Tamandua tetradactyla: one gene and its partners. The protein of the gene in region 2 interacts with the protein of the main gene of each other region in a biochemical or structural test. Links are inferred from orthologs where the notes say so. Each region holds a gene or a part of one and is shown on either strand. Other genes may lie near its edges. The genes, in order: ubiquitin D-like, MAD2L1 and REV3L.

Region 1 (9,835 bases), on a different chromosome or scaffold from region 2:
AATGGCCTTCGAACTTTTCTCCCAAGCTGATAAGGGAGGAGATATGATTTCGGGAGATCTCCTTATCCTCAGGAGACAAGTAACAATCCCTGCAGACTCCATGTGTGCATGAGATGATGTGTGACTTGAAGCTTACCGTTATTAGCTTTCTCCCAGTTTCTGCTATCAGGGGTTCTCAGTTTGATAAGGAACTCATAAACCTTACCCTGCATGAAACTCCATCCAGAAAAAAGGAGCCATGGTGCCTCTTCTTGGGGAAACCATCCAAACGGGGACATAATACCCACCTGGCCAGGTGACCAGTGCCCACGACAGGGCACCTGACCCAGAAGAGTAATGAGGAACACTCCTAAGTGTGATGAGTTCTCCTGGGTGTGGTTAAGTTGGGAAACCCACCTATAGGAAGTGGTTCTGAGCAATTTTTAAAGAACAGAAGGGACTAGAACTCATGAAGAATAAGGTAGGCATGTCTCAGGTTGTGAGAAAAGATGAAAGTGACAATCAGCAAGACCTGAGAGTCAGGCTGTGAGGCAGAAGAGTAAATGGAGGGAGTAAGATGGAGGACGTAACTCAAGTTTCCAAGAGAGGAGCAGGACCTGGTGGTGAAGGAAGTAGAAAGGAAAAGGCCCCTTCAGCAGAACTTGGCAGAGTTCTGGGGCCAGGCCAGAGGTCAACCCTTTACCCCCTCATCCAGACTGATACCTGACCTAAAGAAGACCTGCCACACCGTAAGACAAACAGGACAGAGACTGTCCACATTCCTCCACCTTTCAGAAAGTCCATTCCCTCCTGAAACACATCTGACCCCAAGAAGTCCCCACAAGAGGCACAGACTCTCTAGCTCCCCATGGAAATGAGCTGCCATGCCCACTGTCATCTACAGAAATAAGAACAATTCTAACTGTTATGGGACATGCAGGGTAGGCAAGGCATTTCTGTGCCAGGTTTCACTTTATATCAAACAGCCTTAAATAGAGAGAAAGAAAGTTTAATTTAACTTCTAATTTATCTATGAATTAGATTGTGATCTAGTCAGAGTTCAGTTAATAATTCATTTCACTGTTCTCCATGGAAATTCAGTTTAGTTCAGCAACTATTGAGTGATATTTTACATGAAGCACTGAGTCAAACATAAATGGAAAACATAGAAATTAGAAAAGCAGGGATCCCAATTTAAAACTTAATGTCTTGTCAGATAAGAAAGGAAATAGGAGTTTCTCTATGAATCAAAGGGAACCATGAAATAACTAAATTACAAACTGGATTTGAATGTTGTCTCTCATGAGCCTCGGCAGTTCATTTCTATCTTCATTAACACCTTATACACTATCCTGCCTTATAATTATGTTAAAATCAAAGAATAATAAAGGTGAAAAGGTATTCTGCAGTCTTCCTTCCCACCCCACCCAAATCTTAAATTCTATATTTATCTATTTATTCCTCTTGGCAAACTAATAAAGGACATGATTGGTGAGTAAAAGCTAAAAGGAAATAGTCACTTTTTTTCCTGAGATCACTCCAATACAAGGGCAATCATCCCTTAATTGAAGGAAATGCCAGGAAGAGTAAATTCCCCTTTCTAACGTCATAATCTGCCATGGTCTTCCTATCTTCTGGTCTCTTTCCATTGCAAGTCACAGTCTGGGTCTCGGGCCTGACATGGTCTATGTCAATCATCTCTTTCACCTGAGCCACTGAACTGGACCTCCACACCTGGAGAAGTTGCCTCTGCCCCTCATCACCTGACTCCACCAGAAATATGGGAACTTCCTCATCACTGGACTTCACTACCTTCAGGGAGAGGTGGATGGTCTTCTCCTTGTCGATTCCATAAGATGAAAGCCTTCTTGGGGGCTTTAGGGTCTTCGGACCCAAAAACAGGACGTGGTCCTGCACAGGAACCTTGGTCCTAGAACTGATATGTTCACTGATTATCTTCACTGAGTCATTTATGTTGGCAGTGAAGGTCATTAATTCCCATTCCATGGAATGAATGTTCACCTTGGCAATGAGAACCTAGAGGTGGCTTCCTAGATTATCTGCCACACGTTCAACCCTACCTTCATTGCACCTCCCCTTCTACTGCCTGCTAAGCACTCCTGCTCTTTCCCACCAATCAGTGACCCTTCTTTTCTTGGCACTTCTCTTTTGGTACTGCCTCCAGACCCAGGTATAAGCCAAACAAGAGAAGGCTCATTTCTTCATAACCACACCCTATATTTATCCCAAAATATCATTAATGATTTCCCACTTTATTTTCCTGACTCCTATTGAGGTAAAATGTGGCAAATGTCAAAAAATAAATCCAACTAGAAAGCTTAAAAAAAAATGCACACCAGACTCTAAAAACAACTCCCAAAAAGTTTTCAAGATTTGACAGCCTCCTTGGATACTCATGGAGATGTTCTGCAACTACTTTGGAAGGAAACTGGTTAGGACACAATCGCTTTGCTGTTACTATCTGATTTAACATTTAATTACTTTATAATGATGTCACATATTTCTGTGACATTATATTCAATGTTACATGCCAGTTTTTTTTTTCTTGTTTTTGTATCTACCTATCATAGAACGTGATCTATATAATCAGACCAGAGCCTCACGGAAGATGGAGACTATATCCGAGTATTACTTCAATAACTGGAAAATTCTGAAAGATGGGCAGCTCATTCCTGTTTTATCGCCCAAAAGCCTGGGAGGAGCTCCTTCATAGCCCATTCAAAAAAATTTCCCCAGCTTACACGACACAGACTGTGTTAGTATTCCTCCACTGGAGTGTCTCTACTCTGTGTTGAGTGATGCCCACATTCCAGGTTGTCTTCATAATGCATATGTTCTTATTGAAGGTAATATATTGGGTCATTAAAAACATGAGAAAAATGAAGATTTCCTTTGGGAGGAGAGGGAAGCTTAAACTTAAGAACCCTGAATACTTAATCAGGATAGGAGAAAAGGACATAAGAAAAAAATTCCATAATTTGCCAGCCCTGTTGAACACAAAGTCTAGTCCACTTCCTACCATTTATCCCTAACAGTTCAAGATCTGACACAAAACAGAAATCAGGAGCCAAATGTATGACTTCTCTCCACAACAACCTTCTGCCCACTCTGAAAATAATTCCTTTCTGCTCACCTTCAAGCTGCCTTCTGGGCTATCCTACTCCCTGAGCACCATCCCTATTCAGTTCCTTAAATCTGTGCCCCCCTGAGCAATTAAAGGTGCTTTTCCTTTCCCCACCCTTCTCAGGTCCCAACTTACACAGACGCAGGGAGCATTGGGAGCCATCTCTGCAGTCAAGGCAGTAGAAATACGAAGATGAGAAAAAGACAGCTATATACAGGTAATCGAGGTGGAAATCCCCTGCCTGGACTGTTGTGTTTATCTTTAGGCAGCTTTACTGTACCCTTTGTTTTTGATACAGTCTCAGAAATTTTCTCTCACTTTTGCTGGGGTGGGGTCAATAAAACAGAATACTTTCTTGATCAGACATTTTTCCCCTCACCAATCCATTTACACACTTCATTCGAAGCACAGTATGGTCCTCCTTTGTTCAGAGTTTCCTTCTGTTAACACCCCACCTCCACCCTCCTAGTCCTGATTTATGATTGTGTAACTCTCAGCTCTGAGCTTCACTGGCATGAAGACCTAATCTGCTAGGTGACCCTCCTCTGCTGCTTTTATGAATCCTCCATCAGTCAGGGGCTGTCCTGAGAGCTAGGGCACCTAAAAGAGGACAGTCAGGGATGGTGTTTTGAGTGGCCTGTTCACAGCGGCAGAATGTGTGGAACTTGTCTTGAGAGGACATATAATAAATAACCCTAGACTGAGAAGAGACATGAGTTTGAGTCCCAGATGTGTCACTTGCTATATTACCTTGAGCAGGTCTGTTTACCTCCTTGGATGTTGGTTTCCTTGTCTAAAAAGGAAATGAGAGAATTAGAGAGGATTCCTAAGTGTCTTCCAGGCTTAGGAAAATATTTATAAAATGTCTTCACAGAGAATTTTACATTTCTGAGTTTTGAACTCACAAGCACACTACCTACCCTGTTCCAGAGCCTGCAACCCAAATCTATTACTTCATAACAACCCAAGACCAACAATGGAATGCTGACTCCCATCTCCCGCACACCAACACATTCACACAGCCACTCTCATACCATGGTGCATCCAATGCTCTCCCTTTCCCTAGGACTCTCCCTACTACCGTGATCTCAGAAAACACCTAAAGATGCTGTTCACTCCCTTGCTCTTGAGAATTAAACTGAGACAAAAAGGGAGTGCTTGAGCTGTGTACCCACAAGGGATTTGTTGGATCACTCTAACCCTCTTAACATTTCAAATTAACCACTGGCGTCTTCCAAACCATCCCTCCATTGCAGTTTTTTTTAAATAAATATATAATTTATTAAAAGTGCTTTGATATTTTTTTCTCAGGGTAAAATGCCTATAAGAATGTCAAGTTGGGGGGCCAAGATGGCAGCTTAGCAATGTGCACATTTTAGTTCATTCTCCAGAACAACTACTAAATAACCAGAAACAGTACATAACAGCTCCCGGAGCCACGATAGTAGCTGGACACACAGCGTACCCCAGTCTAGACCAGCTGGACCGGCTGCGAGTCTCTGGAACCGTGAGTTCCCCAAGCCGTGGCAGCCGGCGTGTGGCACCCCTCCCCCACAGGTGGCTTCCCAGAGGGAAAGGAAAGACATTTTAACAGTAGCAGGGACTGAGTCCAACCAAACACCAATTGTGGCATTAATAAACAAATTCTGACTACGTAAAATAGGCCCCTAGCTCAGGCGAAACTGGTCAAGGCAGAGGTTGCTTATTGGGCTAACCAAAAAAGAGGAAAGGGGGTGAAATGGAGGCTTTTGTGGCTGTTTCTATGGAGGCTTGGCTGCCTCTGGATTCAGCGGCAGGACTACACAGGTTACAACTGCCCCAGGCATATGCAGAAATGGATGGCTTCAGGGCTATCTCCAGGCTGAGCCTTCCCCAGGGGAGGGGTGAAGCCCAACTCAGGTGGAATCCCTCTCTCAAGGAATTCAGAACCCAGGGCTTGGCAATTTGAAGCCATTAAAACCAGCCTAAAACCTCTTCTCTGTCTCCACCACGCCCCCAGCAGGGAGAGCCTTCCAAAGTTAAAGGAGCCACAATATCTTTTGTGGTGGGACCTGCAGATAGACAACCACCACATACTGGGCAGGATAAGAAAAACAGAGCCCAGAGACTTCACAGGAAAGTCTTTCAACCTGCTGGGACTCACCCTCAGGGTAAGCTTATGCAGGTGACTCCCTCCCCCTGATAGGAGGCCAGTTTAGTCGGGGAAAACCTGGCTGGAGTTTGTAATACCTATGTAGACCCTCCTAAGGGTGGGGAGGGAAAAGGCACCTTACAAGCAGGACAAGAAACAAGAAAACAAGAACTGAAAAATTACCCTCTGTTAAACAAAACTTAAGCTACAGGCCCAGAAAAAGCTGAACTGAAGGTCAAATAACAGGTAGACAACAAACTCATCTAGCAAGAAAACCCTAGGTAAGATAAGTGAAAGCAATCACCAGAATAAACTAATTAAGGTAATTAAATGTCTAGACACCAGCAAAAAATAACAAATCACACAAGGAAAATTGAAGATAAGGCCCAGTCAAAGGAACAAACCATTAGTTCAAATGAGATACAGGAGCTGAAACAGCTAATTCAGAATATACGAACACAAATGGAAAACCTCATCAAAAACCAAATCAGGGCGGGCCGCGGTGGCTCAGCGGGCAAGAGTGCTTGCCTGCCGTGCCGGAGGACCCCGGTTCGATTCCCGGCCCCAGCCCATGTAAAAAACAAACAAACAAACAAAATATAATAAAACAAGAAAATGTTTAAAATGTTTCCCTTTCTTCCTCCCTTCCTTCCTTCTCTGTCTTTCCTTCCTTTCCTCCCTCTCTCTAAAAAAAAAAAAAAAAAAAAAAAAAAAAAAAAAAAAAAAAACCAAATCAATGAATTGAGGAAGGACATGAAGAAGGCAAGGAAGGAACAAAAAGAAGAATGGAAAGCCTGAAAAAACAAATCACAGAACTTATGGGAATGAAGGATACAGTAGAAGAGATGAAAAAAACAATGGAAACCTACAATGGTAGATTTCAAGAGACAGAGGTTAGGATTAGTGACCTGGAGGACAGAACATCTGAAATCCAAAAAGAAACAGTAACTACAGGGAAAAGAATGGAAAAACATGAGCAGGTACTTAAGGAATTGAATGATAATATGAAGCGCACAAATATACGTGTTGTGAGTGTCCCAGAAGGAGAAGAGAATGGAAAAGGAGTAGAAAAACTAATGGAAGAAATTATCACTGAAAATTTCCCAATTCTTATGAAAGACCTAAAATTACAGATCCAAGAAGTGCAACACACCCCAAAGAGAATAGATCCAAATAGATGTTCTCCAAGACACTTACTAGTCAGAATGTCAGAGGTCAAAGAGAAAGAGAGGATCTTGAAAGTAGCAAGAGAAAAGCCATCCATCACATACAAGGGAAACCCAATAAGACTGTGTAGATTTCTCAGCAGAAACCATGGAGGCGAGAAGACAGTGGGATGATATATTTAAACTACTAAAAGAGAAAAACTGCCAACCAAGAATTCTATACCCAGCAAAATTGTCCTTCAAAAATGAGGGAGAAATTAAAACATTTTCAGACAAAAAGTCACTGAGAGAATTTGTGACCAAGAGACCAACTCTGCAAGAAATACTGAAGGGAGCACTAGAGACAGATAAGAAAAGACAGAAGAGAGAGGTGTGCAGAAGAGTGTAGAAAGAAGGGAAATTTAGATATGACATGTAAAATACAAAAGGGAAAAAGGTAGAGGAAAGTACCACCCAAACACTAATAGCACTAGATGTTAATGGACTGAACTCCCCAATCAAAAGAAATAGACTGGCAGAATGGATTAAAAAACAGGATCCTCCTATATGCTGTCTACAGGAAACGCATCTTAGACCCAAAGATAAACATAGGTTGAAAGTGAAAGGTTGGGAAAAGATATTTCATGCAAATATCAACCAGAAAAGAGCAAGAGTAGCTATACTAATATCCAACAAATTAGACTTCAAATGTAAAACACTTAGAAGAGACAAAGAAGGATACTATCTACTAATAAAAGGAACAATTCAACAAGAAGACATAACAATCATAAATATCTATGCACCAAAGCAGAATGCCCCAAAATACATGAGGCAAACACTGCAAATACTGAAAAGGAAAATAGACACATCTACCATAATAGTTGGAGACTTCAATTCCCCACTCTCATCAATGGACAGAACATCTAGAGAGAGGATCAATAAAGAAACAGAGAATTTGAATATTACAATAAATGAGCTAGACCTAACAGACATTTATAGGACATTACACCCCACAACAGCAGGATACACCTGTTTCTCAAGTGCTCATGGATCATTCTCAAAGATAGACCATATGTTGGGTCACAAAGCAAGTCTCAACAAATTTAAAAAGATTGAAATCATACACAACACTTTCTCAGATCATAAAGGAATGAAGTTGGAAATCAATAATAGGCAGAGTGCCAGAAAATTCACAAATACATGGAGGCTCAAAAACACACTCTTAAACAACTGGTGGGTCAAGGAAGAAATTACAAGAGAAATTAGTAAATATCTCGAGGCGAAGGAAAATGAAAACACAACATATGAAAACCTATGGGACGCAGCAAAGGCAGTGCTGAGACGGAAATTTATTGCCCTAAATGCCTATATCAGAAAAGAAGAAAAGGCAAAAATTCGGGAATTAACTGTCCACTTGGAAGAACTGGAGAAAGAACAACAAACTAACCCCAAAGCAAGCAAAAGGAAAGAAATAACAAAGATTAGAGCAGAAATAAATGAAATTGAAAACATGAAAACAATAGAGAAAATCAATAAGACCAGAAGTTGGTTCTATGAGAAAATCAAAAAGATTGATGGGCCTTTAGCAAGATTGACAAAAAGAAGAAGAGTGAGGACACAAATAAATAAGATCAGAAATGGAAGAGGAGACATAACCACTGAACTCACAGAAATAAAGGAGGTAATAACAGGATACTATGAACAACTTTATGCTAATAAATACAACAATGTAGATGAAATGGACAACTTCCTAGAAAGGCATGAACAACCAACTTTGACTCAAGAAGAAATAGATGACCTCAACAAAACAATCACAAGTAAAGAAATTGAATCAGTCATTAAAAAGCTTCCCAAAAAGAAATGTCCAGGACTAGATGGCTTTACATGTGAATTCTACCAAACATTCCAGAAAGAATTAGTACCAGTCCTGCTCAAACGCTTCAAAGAAATTGAAGTGGAGGGAAAGCTACCTAATTAATTCTATGAAGCCAACATCACCCTCATACCAAAACCAGGCAAAGATATTACAAAAAAAGAAAACTAGAGACCAATCTCTCTAATGAATATAGATGCAAAAATCCTCAATAAAATTCTAGCAAATCGAATCCAACAACACATTAAAAGAATTATACATCATGACCAAGTAGGATTCATCCCAGGTATGCAAGGATGGTTCAACATAAGAAAATTAATTAATGTAATACACCATATCAACAGATCAAAGCAGAAAAATCACATGATCATCTCAATTGATGCAGAGAAGGCATTTGACAAGATTCAACATCCTTTCCTGTTGAAAACATTTCAAAGGATAGGAATACAAGGGAACTTCCTTAAAATCATAAAGGGAGTATATGAAAAACCCACAGCTAATATCATCCTCAATGGGGGAAAATTGAAAACTTTCCCCCTAAGATCAGGAACAAGACAAGGATGTTCACTATCACCACTGCTATTCAACATCGTGTTGGAAGTTCTAGCCAGAGCAATTAGTCAAGAAAAAGAAATACAAGGCATCAAAATTGGAAAGGAAGAAGTAAAACTATCACTGTTTGCAGACGATATGATACTACACGTCGAAAACCCGGAAAAATCCACAGCAAAACTACTAGAGCTAATAAACGAGTACAGCAAAGTAGCAGGTTACAAGATCAACATTCAAAAATCTGTAGTGTTTCTATACACTAGTAATGAACAAGCGGAGGGGGAAATCAAGAAACGAATTTCATTTACAATTGCAACTAAAAGAATAAAATACTTAGGAATAAATTTAACTAAAGAGACAAAAGACCTATACAAAGAAAACTACAAGAAACTGTCAAAAGAAATCACAGAAGACCTAAATAGATGGAAGGGCATACCATGTTCATGGATTGGAAGACTAAATATAGTTAAGATGTCAATCCTACCTAAATTGATTTACAGATTCAATGCAATACCAATCAAAATCCCAATAACTTATTTTTCAGAAGTAGAAAAACCAATAAGCAAATTTATCTGGAAGGGCAAGGTGCTCCGAATTGCTAAAAGTATCTTGAGGAAAAAAAACAAAGCTGGAGGTCTCATGCTGCCTGACTGTAAGGCATATTATGAAGCCACAGTGGTCAAAGCAGCATGGTACTGGCATAAAGATAGATATATTGACCAATGGAATCTAATAGAGTGCTCAGATATAGACCCTCTCATCAATGGACATTTGATCTTTGATAAGGCAGTCAAGCCAACTCACCTGGGACAGAACAGTCTCTTCAATAAATGGTGCTTAGAGAACTGGATATCTATATGCAAAAGAATGAATGAGGACCCGTATCTCACACCCTATACAAAAGTTAACTCAAAAAATGGATCAAAGATCTGAACATTAGGTCTAAGACCATAAAACAGTTAGAGGAAAATGTAGGGAGATATCTTATGGATCTTACAACTGGAGGCGGT
Region 2 (9,777 bases):
TTATAATTTAGAAATAAACATATATTAGGGTGTGCTCATTACATATTTTCTTTCACTGATGGGCTACACTATTATAAACAACAAAATTTTTGAGAAAGAGAAGAGGAAGATACATTCACATTTCCACAGCTCTTCAAATAATCTCCCTTAAATTCCAGTCTCCGATGCTTGGGACCTTAGGTTATAATAATCTGCTTTTCCCACACTCCTGATGTTTAGCCTCAGGCAAATAGCAGCCACTCTAGGGGTAACAACTCATAATGTTCTAACCAAGTCCCTAAGAAATGTTCAACTTCTGTGATAAAATAGTATTTTTTTTTTACCACATTTACAAGTCAAATTGTAGTTTCTTATGAATTAAATGGAGACTAAAGATAACTCAAAATTCATAGGATCCTAAAGTAACATTACATAAACTTAAGGAACCTATCTTATTAATAAACTATTCATTATATAAACCCATATCACACCTTAAATTTAAGAAAATGAAAATTCTGTTAGTACATTTTAAAAAAATCACAATGCCATAATACTCTTTTATTTCTCATACCAGGGTCTGCAAGAATATTCTCGGAGATATAACACTCATGTGAATCTTTCTCAATTTTTGTTTCATTTTTATGACAAAGTAACATCAAGATTCATTCTGGGTCACCTGAAAGACCATCTTAAAACAGACTATTGCCATCTATTTCACTGCCAAGAAGTTAGAGTCTGTGTTTACATCCATTTGGGGACTAAGCTATCATGAAATGACACCATTTAATTTTCATCCACTAGTTCTTCAAATTTAAAGCCAAAATTCTGGAGCTCAGTAAGCCTTTTAGGTTACTGGTTGATGCTAAAGGATTATGTACATTATTCAAGAATAAGAAACACTGTGATATTCTATTTATAAACAGAAAACTCCAATACAAAAGATAGAATTAACGTGCATGACTGATCTGTAACTTGATAAATTTTGCTTGACTACTGCATTGTTTGAATGAGCTATAAACACAAGACAAGTCATAGAAAACTATTTCAGTTGAAAAAGCCAAGTTTCTCTAAATAGACAAAATATATTTACAGTAAAATGATTTTCTTGTTTTCAGAATGCTTTTTGCTCCTTCAAATGCCTATAATTATAAATGGTACTGACAAATATTTGAGAAAGAAATAAAGTTACGATTTATTAATTTTGTTCTGTGTATGGAACTTCTCAAAAATATTTTTCTACTTAAATCACATATAAGTCTATTATTAGTAGATTTAGCATAACTAATTCACCTATATTATTTATCTGGCAATTATAAAAATAACCCACGCACAAGATATTCACAAGCAACTAGCTAAAATATACCATATGCATATATGCATAAAATGTTTGCCCAAATTTAATACATAATTATAAAAAGCATCTAACACATTAAATTTATTTTTGTTAATTCTAATAGTAATCATAGTTTATTAATTCTTCACAGAGGCTTTGTGTTGGCAGTTTATATATCTGAAACTGTTCTGAGTTCTTTTGAATTTCAATCGTGACTTTGAAATATATTGTGCTTTGAAACCCAATGAACTACAGAACATATTTTGAATGGATAAATTGGGAAATTAAGGGAGAAACTATAGCTTAATGTATAGTTAAATATATCTGTAATGTATCCATCAAAAAGGCTCTGGGAATTAAATCAAGATATTATTATTTACCTTTGAAAGTATACCTTTTGGTAGCTAATCATGTTTGAGCTATGAAAATTCTATATGTGGCTATATGTCCCTATCATAATAAAGGATTATGCAACATGTTTTCTGTTATGAAATAGCCTGTATTTTCATTTTATGAACTTAGGGTTTTTCATCTTAACATGTTTTATTAATATTTAGCACTTAATTTGTACTAAGAATAAAATTTTTAAATCCTATATATACAACTAGATCATTCAAAACCTATTTTTTACTGTATTAAGCCATTGCTTATCTATGAAAAGTCATGATTCAAATTCACTGTGCTATCTTTGGGACATGTGGGCCAATGATCAAAAACTTACTATGAGGGAAATTGGAACTTTACAAGATCTGTATTTTCAGCTTAATCCTTAAGTATATAAAAATATATAAACATATATTAGGTCTACAAAATGAAGCCCAAGTAATCAGAGTAAAAAATAACCGATTTATTTTCATTCCTGTCCTTCACATAAAATAAGACATAATCTAAATGATATAACACATAGAATAATCCTAAGATTTAGGACAAAAATGTTCTAAAAAAACAAGAGTTAATCTTACAAACAAGCATAATCAAATAGGTAGATGTATGTCTTATCAAAGGAATCATACAGAAAAGTACACCACTGTTTACCAGATTTAGAACAAACTGCTTTATTTCAAGATATTGACCTTATAAATAAAATAACTGGCTATTTGATGGGAAACTATCATAAGTCTATGAGAAAATGATTACTGAAATATTTTCAATTCCAGGTAATAAATTAATATGAAAATTAAATGTAAACATAAAATATACTAAGATTTCATATATACAAGTATGTATAAATATGTCTGTGTATATGTGCATATAATGTTTAAAAGAAGGAAAATCAGTTTTATATAATATAGTATGATGCAACATTTCATTTAAGTATTCCATATATAAGTTTACCTCAGAAACTACCGAACTCATTTTTACTTCATTACTTTATCCAGTGTTTTAGATCAGTTTTGTGGCAAACTTTCTGTAAACAGCTAGAATATAAATGCTAAGTTCTCTGCACCACAGAGGTCTGTTGCATAGTCTTCTCTTTTTTATATTTTAACAATCTCTTCAAAAAATTCTTAGCTGTGGACCATACAAAAATATGCCTTGGTTCAGAATTGACCAGTAGACCTTAGTTTGCCTACTCCTGCTTTAAATAATTTTATTTACTTATTTATTTTACCTTTAACTTAAACAGACACTCGGATTGAATTTTTAAAAAGCATTATTTCACATGCAAGCAGTGCCATCTTCTGGTAGTTGGAACTATTTCTGTATTAACATAAAATTTATTAAACTGGAGTTGAACTGCAATCTTTGTAACAAGTTATGTATACATACTATTGAGTTAAAAAACAGCCTAAACTTCATTTAATTTTTTCAAAGTAACATGTAGAAAAAAAAAGAGCACCTTTAAGCATATCTTCAAACAGACATCATTTTTAAGAGTAAGTCAGGTACTGTATAGATTTCACTACTAAAAACTCAGCATAATTATACAGTCAATATGAACCTAAGTTTTCTCATTTCAGATTATGCAACTAAGTCATTAATTAAGCTACATCAATTCTAAAATTCCATTTGATTCTACCTTCAGAAATTTTTACATAACTAGTGCTAGGTTTTTATGTCAACCCTAAGAATCCAGAACTCCATGATGCCTCTAATTTAATCAACCCAGGTGGGTATTCAAAGATGGCTAAAAGTGGCCTTACCTCATCCATCCGACCTGCTCTCAGATGAAAATATTTGTTGGGTTGTTCCATTTCGTTTTTCTAGACAAATATTCAAATGTTTATTAATTCAACAAATATTTGTGGGGCACTCACTAAATGCCATCACCAATCCTACACAAAAATAGGGAATATATAATATAAATCACTACATAACTATTTACAATGCAACAAACGCTTTTAAGCAATTCTATGAGAGGCTATGAGAATACATAAAGGACCTTAACGTGAGAGGTCACAGAAACTTTCTTCATTTACGTTAAGAAGGGGTGTGAGCATATTAGGGATTCACAAGTGCAAAATAAACTTTCTAGGTAGAAGACAGCCTATTATGGAAAGCCTTGAGGTGGAAAAGGGAATGGAATGCAAAGTTACTAAAAGAGGCAGACAAATTAGAAAAGTAATCTGAAAGGGAGCTGCAGAGGTAGGCAAAAGCCAGAAAAGATCAAATTCGAGAGCCTTCAATATTTTTTAGAGAATGCATATTTAAACAATATTAATTATTGGCATAAACCACGTCTTCCAAGTCTTACTCATTTCTTATATCTTCTCAGAGTACAAAGAAAACATTAAATAAATATTTCTTCTATACATGAAAACCTCATATATTTTCCTAACCTTTAAATTTGTTATAGCACAATTACTTAACATTTTCAAGTAATTTACAACCCATATCATCATGAAACCCAAGGAAGTCTTTCCTGAAGTGCTGGCTTTTAGCAAAAAGTTTCTTAAGAACAAAGGCAATTTTTAAATGGAAAAAGGTGGGTGCCTTGCCCTAACGCTTGATACCAGAATTCTAGCCCTAGCACAAGCTCCGGTAGAAAGGGTGAGAGACATCTAGATTCCTTGCCCCTTCACTCTTCACCTTCCATCATGTCTTGCTCTTCACACCAAAACTGGTCATTTAAAAACAAAACACAGACTAAAAGGATGTAAGGAAAAGACCTTACTGGATCAAGTCTGCCCATCTCCCATGACACACACACTCCGCTCTGCAAACTAATCCAGCCCTGGGATTTCAAGACGGCTTCGAGTCCAGTCGCCTGGCGAGCAGGCCATGTGACCGACCGCCTGCAGAGCTCGTCCACAGAGAGGTCACTTCTGGGGCCAGTTAACCAAGACATTGTCTGAGCGGACCTGACCTACTCAGGTGTGTCCTGGAGTCACAGAGACCCCAAGGGAGGGAGCCTACGGCAGAGTCCATGCAGAGGCCGGACACTTGGACCTCAGGACTAAACCCGAAGGCCCAGAAGGCCGAGGGGCCCGCGCCCTCCGACGGAGCCCCAGCGTGCGGACACCCGGATCTCAGCTCGAGTCGGCGGGCCCTTCCCGCACTCTCACCCGCAGGCCGAGGGCTAAATGGGGGTCTTAGTGAAAACTCGGGGATGTGTTAGGCAGCAACGAGAACATGAGCACACTGCCAGGCCTTTCTCGTCCTACGTAATCAAACATAGCATCTGGTAGACGTCAAAGTCCTCGGTTTGCATTTTACGAGCCCATTCCCCGGCTGTCTCAAAGGAAAATCGTTTCACAACTGAATGGGGACTACTCGTGCAGAATCTCCGGACCCTCCCACCCAAACGGGCAGAGCCCCGGAACGTGTGGGCCCAGTCCGCCGTGACGTCCTCGGCGCGACCGGCCTCGCGGCGGGATGACCTTCACCCCGGCGCGGCCCGGACTCGCTCCGCCACCTCGGGCTGGGCTCGCCCTCTCACCCCCGGCCAGTTCTCTCACACACGGAGGACGACTCGCCGAGGCGTCGGGAGAATGGTCCGACTTCCCACAGGGTCGCGGCGGCGTCCCCACGGCCGCCTCGCCTCAGGCGGGCAGTCCCGCGGGCCGGTGTGCCCCTCGCCTGTGCGATCCACAGGCCTAGTGAGCGACCACATCATCAGGATCTCCCTCCTTCCCTCGGCTTCATCTAGTTGACGCGACCAGAGGACCCACGCGCGAACACCTGCGCGTCACAGAGCGCCACGCTCTCCCACGCGCCTGCGGGAAAAGCCCGGACGAGGCGGAAGGGGATCGCGCATGCGCACAGGCTTCGCGGCGTGGGGCGGTAGGCGTACGGGAGGGGGCTCATCGCGCCTACGCAGAGGCGGGAGGGCGGGTGGAGGCTCGTTGCGCCTGCGCAGAGGCGGGAGGGAGGCGTGGAGGCTCGCCGCGCCTGCGCAGAGGCGGGAGGGAGGAGTGGAGGCTCAACGCGCCTGCGCAAAGGCTCTCCGGCGTGCGGCGTAGTTACTTTTGAAACGAGCGGCGGGAACTGCTGCTGTGGTCGCCGTGGCCGCTCTTCGCTGTTCAAGAAGCGTTCTCTGTTCCGGACCATGGCGCGGCAGCTCTCCCGGGAGCAGGGCATCACGCTGCGCGGGAGCGCCGAAGTCGTGGCAGAGTTCTTCTGTAAGTCCACTCCCGCGGCGGGCGGGAGAGGCGAGGCCCGGGCCGCGCCGCCGCGAAGGCCGAGGTGGGGCCTGAGGCAGGGGCAGCCCACGGGCGCCAGGCGGTCGCGAACCGACCCGACCGCAGCCTCCGGACCTCCTGCTGAGGAAGGGCCTCAGCCAGGGGCAGGTCCTGGAGACTGGCGCCGGCGCGCTGCTGACGGCGGCGGAGCTTGGGCCCCGGAGGGTGAGTGCCGGCCCCGCCCTCGGCCCTTTCCCGGGGGTGAGTGCCGGCCCCGCCCTCGGCCCTTCTCCGGGGGTGAGTGCCGGCCCCGCCCTCGGCCCTTCCCTGGGACCGAGGACTCCAGGGCTTAGGGCACAGGACGACGCAGTGGGTCCCTGTGTATATTTTCCTGGCTCCGCACCCCACCCCCAGGTAGTTCTGAGTCAAGCGTGAACTGTGGGAAGCAGTGTTCTTGATCAGGCTTTCTGTAGTCGGGACTCCTGATGGTGCCTGGCAAGATTTGGGAGAAAACAGGGTGACAAAGTCTTGCCAAGGATTTGTAATGCCACTTTGTACCTATTTTGCTTTCAAGAAAGTAGGGGTATTTGCGTGTTCATGTTTCCAGTTTTAGAGCATTAATGAAACTATCCACATCTATATAGATGTTTCATTTTCAAAGTTACAAAATGATAATGATTTTTCTATAACATTTCTTTTGCTTTCAGCTTTTGGAATCAATAGCATTTTATATCAGCGTGGCATCTATCCATCTGAAACCTTTACTCGAGTGCAGAAATATGGACTCACCTTGCTTGTAACTACAGATCCTGAGCTCATAAAATACCTAAATAATGTAGTGGACCAACTAAAAGGTATTTGTTAGTTGTAAACAGTCTGAGTTTTGCATCCCTTCTGAGATCCAGATTTTCTAGCATCTTGGTGACTGTTTTTCAGCCCTTTGGGAGAGGTAAAACAAACTACCTTCTCAAATATTGTTATTGTCAATGAGAAGAAGCAAATAATATATAGATTGAGGGAAATCCTACCCTTCTGCATTCTGAATGGGGCTATTCTATCCTCAGCATCTTGTATTACATGAACTAGAACAGGAGCTGGGTTGTTAATGGGACAAGTTATCTGAGCAAATGAGACAAGTTCCAAAAGACCAGTGGTAAGAATTTGCTGAGAAAGGGAAAAGGACCTGAAAAGGCAGGGTTGCTTTGCAATGTAGTGGAACAAACATAAATGCCTTATTATGTGTTGCAGATTGGTTATACAAGTGTTCAGTTCAAAAACTGGTTGTGGTCATCTCAAATATTGAAAGTGGTGAAGTCCTTGAAAGATGGCAGTTTGATATTGAGTGTGACAAGACTGCAAAAGATGAGAGGTATGAATAAAATTATTTTTACTCTGATGTATTCTTTCCAAAACTTGTCTTCATTCCTAAATGAGTTAAAATTATAACTTTAGTATTTATGGTGTTACATGTGAAATTGCAAGATGTACTAAGTGGACCATTTAAGGAATTGTGCTTGAAGGTACTCTTAACTGTAAGAGATTTTCCTAGGCTCTCCCCAGCTTAACATGCAGCTCTGCTGCATTTCCTTTAAGCTATGAACTTCCTAAGGTGCTTCAAAAAAGTCTAAATCTAATGCCTGGATAAGAAGTGCCTGTCATTATATGCTGATGTCCACCATTGTCCTACATATGCTTTTCTGTAAACTCAGAAGCATAATTATTTCTCATTATGGAGCATGGTTTGCTTCTAAAGCCTTTAGTGTATTTCAGGAAACTAATTTGATATTTTATTTGAAGCAATTGGGAGGTAGATATATAAGCATTATTAAAAATGTCAAAATGATTGTACCAAAATGATTTTAGATACCATTTATTAATTTTATTTTAGGAGGTCTTGAAGTTTTCCTAACTCAGAGATGCTGGCAGTTTTCTAAACATCTGATACTAAATGACCTGATATTATGATTGGAAGAACTGATGAAATAATGATGCTTATTGTACCTACTAAGTTCATTCTTTTTTTAAACTTCTTTTTGATGCATTACTTATTTCAGAAGCATTTAATCAGATAATCTTAGCTATTGCTATTGTTATATTTTAAATGACTTGTTAAAACCTAAAATGAATTGACTTGATTTTCTTGATAGTGCACCCAGAGAAAAGTCTCAGAAAGCTATCCAAGATGAAATTCGTTCCGTGATCAGACAAATCACAGCTACAATAACATTTCTGCCACTATTGGAAGTTTCTTGTAAGTTTATATTATGCAATTTCTCATACTAAGCTACTAATTTAAGAATCACTCCTTTATTACATTTTTTCTTTAGTTTATAAGTAGGGGGAAAAGTGAAAATAGTATATATACATATAAAGTAAACCTAATATATAAGCATTCTAGAAAATTTGGAAATACTAAAAAAGAGAAATGTCTTTCATAATACTCGTTCTTGAATGTTTTGATGTAATTCCTTTCAATTTTTTAATTTTATATGAGTAAGATTATGCTATAACTATGTCTGACTATTCAGACTTAGTCCTTCATTCATCAAATATTTATTCAATGCCTGGTATATGCCAGGTATTGTTTGGGCAACTAGGATATAGTCGTGATCCAAACCAAAGTGTTAGCTTTCCTGTGCCTTACATTCATGTCTTATGTAATTATAAACTTACTGTGTATCTTAGAAATGGTTTCCTCTTTGAAAAAAACAAAAAAATCTTGAATTTCTCTTCAGATTAGGTAGAATAGTGTGGTATTTTTTGTATTAAAATGAATTTCCATTGAGAAAAATAAATTAGTGATTAGCATTCAGGTTAAACCATCTTTTTTTTTTTAACCCTTTGGACCTAAAGTAAGGGAGATAAGGAGAGTAGTTTTGCTTTTGAAAAAATAATTTACAATAACCTATTTTATCCCCAATTTAGGTTCTTTTGATCTACTGATTTATACAGACAAAGATTTGGTTGTACCTGAAAAATGGGAAGAGTCAGGACCACAGTTTATCACCAATTCTGAGGAAGTCCGTCTTCGTTCATTTACTACTACAATTCACAAAGTAAATAGCATGGTGGCCTACAAAATTCCTGTCAATGACTGAGGGATGAGTTGAGAAAAATAATGTACTTGCAATTCTCAAATGTGGTTTTCCTGAAACTAAATCAATTCTAGATGATAGGTTTATTTTGTTGGTTATAGGTAGGGAAAAATCAACATTATACTTTATGAACTGTGCATAATTGTTCCATTTTTTACCACCGATTTGACTCTCCATAGGATTAACATCATGGATTAGAGGAGAGTAAGGTATTTATTCCCTTTGTTAACGTGTTGGGCTAAATAGATTAACACAAAAGCATATTGCACATTGTTCCAAAGGGAACCAGCTGATTTTGTCAGCATAGATGAGAAAACTTTTGCTATAAAGCTAAAGGACATCCTAAATCATAGATTTTGGCTGAACAGCTTGAATCAGAATATAGGTAAGGAGATATTTAAATGTAAAATACAGCAAAAAATATCTGAATATTTAGAATCTTTGTTCAGATCCTGAAAGGAGCAAACATAACACCAGTTATGAAACATTGCTTTATTAGCTCCTTTTGCCATTTATTTAGTTGTATAATTCCTATGTTGAAAAAATGTTTGATAATTTGATTTTAATGTATATAACTTGTACCTGTAAAGCCATGGATCTTTCTACTGTTAAATTTCCTTTGCTACAGAACGCTTCTTCAAAATATCTTGGACATTATAAAATCAAGCTTTAAATGACTATGATGAAATAAAGTTAAATTTGTACGTTTTAAGTTTGTCTTAAAATGTTTTGATATCGATGTGTTAATACAGTTAAATGGTAGCTAGATGGGCTCAGTAAAGCACATGATTTATTGTAATTACAAGGT
Region 3 (10,668 bases), on a different chromosome or scaffold from region 2:
AATATAAGAGTTATAACTGAAGTATGCATAAAGGGCAAGTGGAAGTGGCATTTTAGCTAAAATTGGAAAGAGGAATTGCCAAAGGCAAGAAGGGTGACGGTATTCCAATAAGAAAGGCAAAAGCAGAGATTCCATGCTTTTACAAAAAGAATGGCATGTTTGAGGAACTATAAGTACTTGAGTAGTTCTCGAGGATAAAATGGAAATGCAGGTGAAAAAATAGATGAAATTGGATATCTAGGCCAAACTCCATGAGGCTGTTTGCCATGAAAACTTTTTATACTTAAATTTATGTAGTAGACAGATTATTCTTGCAGTAGTGTGGAAAATAAGATTGGAGGGGAATGAGGCAAGAGATCAATCACTGCAGTCATCCACCTAAAGAGATTACGTGGACAGGCATGGGGATTATTCAGCAGAGAATGAGTGGGACTTTAAGTCAGAATGTTGGGGGAATTTAAGCTAAGGTTTATTAAACATTTTGCTAAGCACGTTTTTTGTAATGCCTCATTTACTCCTTATAACATCCCTAATAGGGATAGAAAACAGGCCAATTTGCTAAAAGCTAATTTGCCAAAGAATCACTTTGCTAAATTTACTAAAGACTTGTTTTAGGGTGTATTATCTTGAATATATTTAATAATGAATTCTTTGGCAAAATTACTTCTTAATGAACCAGTTTTGGTGAAATGACCTAGAACTTAATGTCAGCATATACAATTATTCCCATTTTACTGAGGAGAAGCTGAGGTACACAGTTAGCAAAAGAAGTGCCAGGTCTTCAGAGCCAGAGTTTTTAATCCCTAAATGGCTAATAGTTATAGGGATGAAGGAGATGGAATGATCTGGGACATCTTGTTTCAGCTATAATATGCCACGATGTTAATATTCTTAAATGAAGAACTAAAACTTTGAAAAGCAAAATAAATAGAATTCAGTATAATATGAATATCATAGCTTGTTAGAGCAGATTCTTTAATTTTTCTTTGGAGCTTTTTTCCCATTCAGCAAAGTGATGAAAAAATATAATGAAGGTAAGATGGTTCTCTTTGCTTTTATGTGGTTACTCTGCTCTTTTCTTAACTTACCAGAAATTGTCTTCTGTCTGGAGTCAACTACCAATTATATGCATGTGACACATAAAACACACTAATGGCCTCTAAACTTTCCTCCTAAACATTTGTTTCCTCACCTACATTATAATAAATATGCATAATACAAGGCTATTCAAATTCTGTAGATGCCTGTTACCACAGTGACAAATGAGATAATATATGAAAGTTAACCATCAAGTGCCAGTAAACCTATAGGTGGTATTATTTTTCTGACAATGAGGAAAAAAGTCCAAAGGTACAAGGGAGCATGTTTATGAGCAGAGGAGATTTGTGCATTGTGTGTATCTGTTCTTGTGCACCGTTTGCACATAGCCTTCAGGAATTCCTCAGAAGTGCAGAATTCTGGTGGATTTCAATGTGTGGGAATTCAGAGAGAAACAAAAAAAAAGTCAAGACAGGAACTGCAGAGCATTAAACCAAGCAAAGGGCCCTGTGTGACTGTACAGGTAGTGTGCCCATGAAGTGGACCCTGAGCTCAGTATTTCTGCTTTCCTTAGTTATGAGAGTTTGACGTATTTTTAACTTGACTCTGTATTTTGCTCTGCTTATTGACAGTCCCTAGCAAAAACCACACATGACTTTTCTCATGTCTACAATGATTATGATTCCTAGCTGCAGAGTGGAGACCATTCTAGGAGTTCAATGGAGAGCAGTAACCCTTCTTTGGGGACAATGAGAAATGAATGGGGCATTTCCAATTGTCACAGTGGCATGTGGCACAAGGGACATTAAATATCCTACACAATGAAGAAGTGTTCCATCCAAGATGCTAGGAGAAGCCCCTTGAGAAACAGAGTTCAGGGTCCACTTCATGGGCACACTAACTATACACTTGGGCATGCTACCTGTACAGTCACACTGGGCCCTATGCTTGGTTTAATGCTCTGCAGTTGCTGTCTTTAATAACTGTATGTTTCAACTTATGTTTTGTATGTTTGAACACAGGTAGAAGGTAACAGTGTTATGTCTGTGACTGAGTAAATGGAGGCACTGAGAGATGAGAGGTTATGCATTCCATGAAACTATAACCTGCTTCAAATGCAAGAATGAAGTCAATAGCATTCTAAGAAATACAAGTGACTGAAGAACCCTATTAATATCCTTTTAATTCATGTGGACTTCTCTGTATTAGCTAACCATTTATGCTGAAAATGATGACTGAGAAGAGGATAGATAGAGCAACCCATAGTTCTCTTTCCTTTTAGCCCTTCCTTAGAGAATGTAGGTAGGATATGTGCATATCACAAAGGGAAACAGAAACAGTTTAGCACTGTGCAGTGCTTACAGTATTCTGGTAAACGCAAAATACAGATGCATGAACAAGCTAAGAAATAAAAACTGTAATTTCAGTGATTCCACATGAGGTGAATGCTTTTGCATTTGCTGGTAAAAATGGCATTGCACAATATAAAGATGGATAAGAAGCAAATTTTAAAAGTGTCATGACAAGCTGAGGGAGAGATAGTGGAAGAAAAAAGCTTCATAATTTAGTGCATATAATGGCATTTTTTTCTGCTTTTGGAACAAGGGCTACACGTTTTCATTTTGCATCAGGTCCCACAAAGTATGTAGCTGCCCCTGGCTGAATTAGTTAAAGCAGAAAGGGATTAAAAGATATTATTTAGCTCATAGATCTCTGAGAATACCCAAGAACCAGGCTTGGATAATATACAGCTAAAAACAACATCCAGGAAAAACCAAACCAGGAAGAAAAACCATTCCACACCACATGGCTGTTCTAGAGGAAGCTCCTTCCAACATCACCAACTAGTCAGCACCTCTGACTCCTGAAATGGATACTTGAACTCCTCCCCAGCTTCCCAAAAGAACCACACATCTCCACCATGTTTTTTTCCAGAAGATCCCCTCTCCTTGAGTGTAGCATTATTTTGCTCGCTTTCATATCTAAACCTCGAATGATCACATCTGATTGACAGAAACTAGGTCATGCAGTAATGTGCTGAAGTTGGCGCCTGACTGTGAACTAACTTCACATTTAGAGGAGCCACTTTGGTAGCTTAGGGGTATCTATCTGTGTAATGAAAATTGGCTAAGGCTACAAATCAGAGTCCTCCTGGTTCCCCTGCTACTGTTAAATATTAACCAGACACCACTGGTTTCATGCCAACACTCTAGCTGCAAGGGAGTCTTAGAACCTTAGTTCTAATTTTCTAGCTTCTCAAGTACAGAAAAGCAAGCTAGAAGGGGGCTGGATGAGTGTTGAGTGAACAATCTTGGAGGATCTGCCATAAAATTGTGGTAGCTATTGCCTCCTGTCCTAGATTATAAATTGCAAACAAGATGCTAACAAACATTAAATAGGGTTGGTATTGAAGGCTGAGCAAGCCTTACAAAAGCATGACATGATGAGTATAGGTCAATGAAACAGAAGAGTTAATAAAATGTTAAAATACATTTCTGTGATACTAGATTATAAACTCTAAAAGGGCAGGGATCATGTCTGTCTTGTTTACCACCATATTTCAAATCACCTGACAAATGTGTGGCCACTAAACAACAAAAAGATATTTTAAGATATTAGGTATAGATTCAGAGTTCAGTTTTGGCATTTATTATATACTAGGTAGGTAAGACAATTCTAAGTGATTTTACTGTTTCTGGATGAGTTAGATTTCTGGATGTCGATAGTTTGCTATTACACGTTCACATACATTATCTCATTTGAGCCTTATAACATCCCTGAGAAATTAAGACAGGAATTACTATCCATTTCATAGCTGAGCGAACAAATTCCAAAAAATAAAATGACTTCCAAAATTTATTTGGCTAGTAAATAAATGATAGCTTATGATTCTCATGTCTTAACTCAAAATTTCAGTGCTCTTACTTCAGGAAAAGTGTTTTCATAAAATAAAATCGATAGTGATTAATTAGGGGAATGTTTTCAATTTGAGCATCAAAAACTAGATTACACGCAAGGTACAACATCCTCATTTCATGCTGCAAATGTTTTTCCTAGAGAGTGAACATTTTCTTGGAGTTCTAGGACTTGAACTATGGTTGTAATTGCCATTTCTTAAAGTAAATGATTCAAGAGGTAGGGGGAAAGAGAGCCTCTTCTATTAACAGCTAATCTGTGAATTTGATGCTTTTACCTGTTTCTAGTTAGGAAAAGTATAATTGAAAAATTATGGATGCACTTGATTATAAAACAGTACACAGGTTCTCAAATTTTATTTTATTGCTTAAGAATCATGGGGTAGAGAATTGGATTATTATCAATACAGATTACCAGGCCCTATTCCAAAAAAAATGATTCAGTAAGGATCAAAATATTAAATATTAAAAAACTCAGTACAATAGGACACTGAAATCACTGGAATTGTGCATGACATTTAGCTTGTATAAAATATTTACTAGAAAATGCATTTTTAGCAAGGTAGCCCTATTTTTAAATCATTTCTAAAATTTTGTATCAATTTAAGAATTTTTGCATCTTAATGTTTTTAGGTACTTCCTGTGCTTTAATAGAAATCTTGCCACCTATGTTTATAATTATGCTCTGAGGTTAAAAACTGCAGACTAGTTTACTGTGGTAATCAGTTTCAAATCTCCTGGTGTATAAATTCTTACTAATACTTATGTTTTGGAATTTATAGACAACCTATTTGCAGTGACCTGTCCTTTAAGCCTTTTGATTTTTCTATTTGAAGAGCCAAAATGTTTCCAAATGCGGATCTCCTAAAGTACTTTAAATATATGGTGACCGACTAACGCTTATAATGCACCTGTGTATTTGTGTGAAACAATGCTCTCTACTTTGAATGGATTGAAAATAACTGTCAAAGTCCTAATTCGGGGCATATTTTCAACTTGAAACATGGTTTCTGTCTCCTATTGCTTAGAATCATTTTGTTAAGAAGAAACCCTTAAGGATTAGTTTTAAGAAAAGCCCTCTCATTTTATGGAGTAGGAAAAGGAGGCTTAGAGAGACCAAATGACTTGTCCAAGGTCACGCCCAATGTTAGTGACCATATATATCGGACAAAAACCCATGGGTTCCAATTTAATGGCAACCCAGCTTCACCTGCTATTTCATCACCTCCTCTTTTTTGTTTTAATTCCACAATTGCCTTTCTACTTCATCCCTCTTGATTCTCGGATAAAGCTATTTTCTCTAATAGTTCTTTTTCGCTTTCTTGCCTTCGGGTTGTAGAACGTTGCAAAAGGTTTTAATCAGTAACACTTGGAGTCCACATCTAATGCGGGGCTTTTCCTTCGGCCAAAAATTTCTCTGAGAGTATCTTAATCCTGCATTCCGCTAGGGGAGGACCGGGAGGAGGGAAGTCACTGGGAGCTGACAAGTCCTTACATGTCCAAACACCCGCCCGAATCTCAGGCTGCGGGGCCGAGGAGGAAACCAAGGAAGGATATACGAGGGCGAGAGGGAAGGAAAGGGGCGGGGGAAAAACACCACGGTGGGAAATCCCAGTACACTGGATCTGTCAACCCCTGGCAAAGCTGAGCAGAGCCGGGCGTGCATAAATCTCATTAACTTGCCCGGCGCAGACACTGCAGCAGCAAAGAGGAGGGGCGAGAGGGGCGAGGCGGGTTGGGGCGGCGCACTAAGCAAAGCGCCTGAGCCGCCCTTTTATAGGCCGAAGCCCGCGCTCGCGCGTCCCCGCCCCTCCACCCCCCGGGCCACGCGCGGGAGCCGCGGCGCTACTTGAGAAGGGTCGGTTTCGCCGACCGCCCTCCCGCGAGGCCGCGAACGCACGAGATCTACGCCTCGCCTCCCTCCTCCCGCGGGCGGGCTTTCTTACCTTATAAAAAGCCGTCTCTGCCGCTGTCCCCTTCTCCTCTGCTGGATGTGAAATGGCGGTCCGCGAGGCAAGCTTGAGTACCGCAATAGTGGCCAATCCCGCGTAATCGCCAAAACGGCCCTGAACACTGGCACTTCCCTCTCGCAAGCCCCTTGGAGCCCATCCATGACATCGGCGCTCCGTTGCCCCTCACCCAGGTGACCGTGCCCACCGGCCGAGTCATCGATACTCCGCGCCAGGAGCGGGCCTTGCTTTTTGCCAACCACCTCCCTCGCTGCGTGCCCGCGGGCGGGGAGAAAACTCTCTTGGCGCCCCCCTCAGTGTCCCGTTCGGACGCCCCGCTCCCCTCCCTTTCCCATCGCGTTCCCTCCCCCAACTACTCTTGGCCCTCCCTTCACCACACACACAACCCTCTTCTCCCCTCCCCCAGTGGTTGCGTCCGTGACATCATCATCATGGCAACAAGAGCTGCAGCCTGGGACCGAGGAGCCCGTGTGATCCCCGGCGGCGGCGGTTGTGGCGGCAACACCAGCACCGACGAGACCGCGAGGGCTTCTCTCTTCCTGCCCCTCGCAGGGTGCTCCTGAGGAGGCGGCGGCAGCAGTGCCAGCATCGCCCCGCCCGCCCGTCGCCGCTCCTCACGGCGTCTGTGTGTGAAGGGAGGGGGCGCCGCCGCCGCTGCTGTGGGGCCGCCTTTGCTGAGGGATCCGGAGCCGCCGGAGCCGCCGCCGCCGCTACTGCTGCTGCTGCTGCCGAGTTGCTAGTGAAGGGGAGGCGGTGGCGGCGGCGGCGAACATGTTTTCAGTGAGGATAGTGACTGCCGACTACTACATGGCCAGCCCGCTGCAGGGGCTGGATATCTGCCAATCCCCCCTCACCCAGGCCCCTGTCAAGAAGGTACCAGTGGTGCGAGTGTTCGGAGCGACCCGGGCAGGTAAGCGGGCGCGGGGCGCGGGCGGGAGCCGGCGGGGTGCCCGGGCCGCCCTCCTCGCTGCGCACACGCGCACACGCCGCCGGCGCCGGCCCTCTCTGGATCGCTGCTGCGTCTTCCCTCCCCTCCGCCCTCTTCGCCTTTCCTCTCGTGCATGACAAGAGGCGCAAAAATGTGGGTCCGCGCGAGCGCTGCGCCCCCCGGGCGGGGAGGCGGGGAGGCGGCGAGCCCCGAGTGTTTACACTGCGCGCGGCGGAGTGGAGCTGGATCCGCACTCGCGGGTCCGGGGCTGGGGGGGCGAGCTTCGGCGAGGAAGGGCCAGGTGGCCGCGCCATGTCCTCAGTGCCTGGGTTCGCGTGGCCCGGCTCTTGAGGTCGCTCCCTGGCGGGAGCACGGACACCCTCTGCGTCTTCCAAGTGCTCTTTTCTGGAAATAGCCTTATGAGGAGAGGGGAAGTGTCAGCTCTGCTGTCAGTCGCTCTTTTAGCAGCGCTCTCCTCTGCCCCTGCCGGAGATGCTGGGGGCTGGAGAGAGTGGAGCCTGGGGCCAGATAATCTTTTTTCATTGAAGCGACCATGTGGTTCTGCGGTTAGTGCAGGTCGTGACTCAGAGGCTGGGCGGCTTTCTCAGGTGCATTGCTTTCAGGAAAATGTGAATTGTTGGAAGCAGGAGATGCGTGTTTGTTTCCTAACACAAATCATCCTATTTAATGAGTTGAATTTATTAGGAAGCACAGCTAAACCCAGCAGCCCAAACATGGAAAAATGCCCTTCTGTTGGGTAGTAGTATTGCCATTTGAATACGCACATTAAGAAAGCAATAATAATATTTTGAAGAAAGAATGGGGTTGGGAGCCAGCATTGAGAGAAACTATGTGCTCAAAAGCTCTTGGGAGTTTATGATAATATCAATAGGATAGTGACCAAATTTATGAGGTGTTTTTAATTGCTTTGCTTTGCTTCATCCTTTGAACTGCCTACGTGAAATAACGGAGCTGCCTCCTAGAAGGAGGTGCCCTCACCTCGTAACCATGTATTGCTCTATGGGATTTTAAATAGCGTTTCCCACTTGATGCTCCTTGCCCTCATCACCATTCATCTTATTACTGTCAGTTTCTGTGCACTACCAAGATAATAGTACTTTCCCAGACATAAGCTTCCTTCTAAATAATCTTTTATTGTGAATTCTCTTTGTTAAAAATTTCAGTGGAGTTAGTGAAATTTGGTAGAGTATTCCTGTTTAAAATAATAGCGAAAACGATCTTGATGATATGGACCATGTAAGATGGAGAATTTGGTGTTAGCAATTCGTTGAAAGTGAAACACTTGAAACTTGGATCACGTTGGAGGCTGGAAAATAGATGCAAAGTGTTCTGAAGGGTAGGTTTTTTGCCCTTTGAAATACATAGCCGTGCTGTCTTTATTTCTAATGGGAATTTCTGTGAAATATACTGTTTGTTCTCACTTCAGGTGCGGAGAAAGGATAAGGTAGTGATGTTGATGTAGCTCTGTTCAGCAGGTTTCCAAATTATAAAGTGAACATGCTAATAGAATATACTGTGACATTTCTGTGATTTTCAGCATGTATGGTTTGAGTTACCTTTCTACACTTTTTTTTTCTTTTATATGAGTCATCAAATAGTATCCCTGAGTGATTTTCAAACTCTGTGTTTCAGGAAAGTTTTGTTTGTTAAATAAATGAATTTCACTGTAAGCTACACTAATTCTATTATGTGAGAGAATACTCTTTTTAAAAATAAAGACCATGAAGTACTTTTACATTTTATGAATATAGTAAAAATGGAAATGTAAATTATTTATACTGTGATGAAAACAATTATTTCTCCCCTCCTGGACATCTTAAATTGACTACCACCACCATCACTTTGAAATGCATAATAAATTAGAGTTTATAGCTTTCAGAAACGAATCCAAGATTTTTAGTATGTCAGAAACTCCCAGTAAAATTACTGTTAATTAAAGGTAAACAAATTGCAGAATTGTCTACTTTTGTATTCTGTCCCTAAAGAAAACCCATCCATGTCATCCAGAAAAATGGCCTGTTTGGCTTAGTAAAAGTCTGAATTCTAGAATTTTTAGTGGAAACAGATTTGAAAGTATAAATTATATTTATATAGACTAATAAAGTGAGTTAATGAAAATTTGCAACACATGGAAAACCTACTCTACATTAACGTATCATCAACAAGTCTTTCACATATAGGAGTTAAGTTTGGAAACTTTTATTTCTCTACTTTGGCTTGGAAAAAAAATGTTTTAAAACTGAATTCACTTTACAAATGAGATTCTCAAAGATAGTAGAAGAAAAATTTCTCAAATTAGGTGGTCATTTCAGAATTATAAATTCTAGTAGAGAGTGGATCGAGACAATTTTACTAGTCCAGTTTTTCTACAATTGCATCAAGTGTTTTTCTGCTTTAGAAAACAGTCCAGTTGACTTCTGATTGTCCTGTGATTTGAGGACATAAAGAGTAATTTAAAAAACAAATTAATAATGCGTGTTGGGTTTTAAAAGTTCCTATATCTCTAGTTGGTGGGATTTGAAAAGGTGTAATAAAAAGTGGCATATTCATATTTGAAGGGTAAATTCTAACTGAATGATTTAATCCTTTCCTGACTGAGGATATTGAATTCTCAGAGTTACTTAAATTTTCTTAGTGTGAGTGATGGAATTTTTTTAAAAAGCTCATCTGCTTTTAACTTGTTAAAAAAATGTCTTTAACGTTGTTTTGACATCACAATGTATTAAGCAATATCATTTGTAGAAATGGTAATTATATAACAACATTTTGGTAACATATTAATGGAAGGAAGTAGTCATGAGTAATAAAAACACAGGACAGTGTTTTTTTACTTATAATGTGGGTATAACTCCTTTGGGAATTCACTTCACCTAAAATCCTGAAACTTCACTGTGAGGATTTGACTCAGGTGGGCCTGGGAAGGTGTTCACATCTTGCTTAGTTGCTTGATGTAACTCACTTCATGCTGAACTGGGCAGCTTTCTTAGTTTTCCCAGCACCAGGTTAAACAGAATTGTTCTTTCAAAGGAAAAGGGCTTTCCTGCTGAGATGGAGAGTAGGAGTAAATAGGAGAGTGTGAGATGTCCACAAAGCAGATAATTAAATGAAGTAGACCAAACAGTCTATAGAGGGAGCTGCTTGTCTTTAAGAGTACTGTAAGACATTCTGCCAATCTCCCCTCTAAACCTTCCTTTAGCTCAGTGAGTATTTTAGTAGATTGTTCTTAATAATGACAAACATGAAATCAAATTTTCAACATAAGAAATTGATAATTCTGAAATGGTGTATAAAATCTATATAGATGATTATTCGGATTGCACATGTATATATTCTTATACTCTGCATTTTATTAACTATAATAAATTACCAGAATAACCTCACTTTTTTGTAAATTGGTGGATTATTAAATAAGTATGAAATATGTAATATCTACTATAGCTTATATAGATATAAACTAACATCAATAAGAGAGATTACAGATAGTTTCTCTAATAAAAGTCTTGTTTGCTCATGGCCTTTAAAACCATTTAAAAACATTTTAAGATCACATAATACACATTTGATATTATTAGAGAGAAAGATTTTCAGAAGCAGTACTAAGATTTAGTGACTCATCACAAACAAAATAAGTCATTTTATTTAGTAGGTATTTTAATCCCTGAGTAGCAAATTTTATTGGCTTTTTTTGTATTATATTTGATTAAAATCACGGTGAATCAGAGACGTAAGCAGGAGCCCTCTTGAATTTGTGGGCACAGTGGAATATGGTAATATGTGATAAATCAACTCTGTAAGT

What was found.
Region 1: the proteins of MAD2L1 (region 2) and ubiquitin D-like form a complex in vitro, tested with the Homo sapiens proteins (2 studies listed by BioGRID). The link is inferred for Tamandua tetradactyla from reciprocal best matches to the Homo sapiens genes MAD2L1 and UBD.
Region 3: the proteins of MAD2L1 (region 2) and REV3L form a complex in vitro, tested with the Homo sapiens proteins (2 studies listed by BioGRID). The link is inferred for Tamandua tetradactyla from reciprocal best matches to the Homo sapiens genes MAD2L1 and REV3L.

What each region holds. Positions count from the first base shown.
Region 1 is NC_135331.1:84,202,659-84,212,493, forward strand, and holds ubiquitin D-like, read right to left. Parts: upstream 3,287-9,835; coding exon 3,260-3,286; intron 2,002-3,259; coding exon 1,534-2,001; downstream 1-1,533. UniProt on the Homo sapiens protein: Ubiquitin-like protein modifier which can be covalently attached to target proteins and subsequently leads to their degradation by the 26S proteasome, in a NUB1-dependent manner.
Region 2 is NC_135348.1:48,644,465-48,654,241, forward strand, and holds MAD2L1 (mitotic spindle assembly checkpoint protein MAD2A), read left to right. Parts: upstream 1-5,646; 5' UTR 5,647-5,801; coding exon 5,802-5,874; intron 5,875-6,581; coding exon 6,582-6,728; intron 6,729-7,122; coding exon 7,123-7,243; intron 7,244-8,021; coding exon 8,022-8,125; intron 8,126-8,799; coding exon 8,800-8,972; 3' UTR 8,973-9,681; downstream 9,682-9,777. UniProt on the Homo sapiens protein: Component of the spindle-assembly checkpoint that prevents the onset of anaphase until all chromosomes are properly aligned at the metaphase plate.
Region 3 is NC_135331.1:170,321,602-170,332,269, reverse strand, and holds the start of REV3L (DNA polymerase zeta catalytic subunit), read left to right. Parts: upstream 1-6,180; 5' UTR 6,181-6,694; coding exon 6,695-6,833; intron 6,834-7,315; exon of another isoform or gene 7,316-8,208; intron 8,209-10,668. UniProt on the Homo sapiens protein: Catalytic subunit of the DNA polymerase zeta complex, an error-prone polymerase specialized in translesion DNA synthesis (TLS). Lacks an intrinsic 3'-5' exonuclease activity and thus has no proofreading function.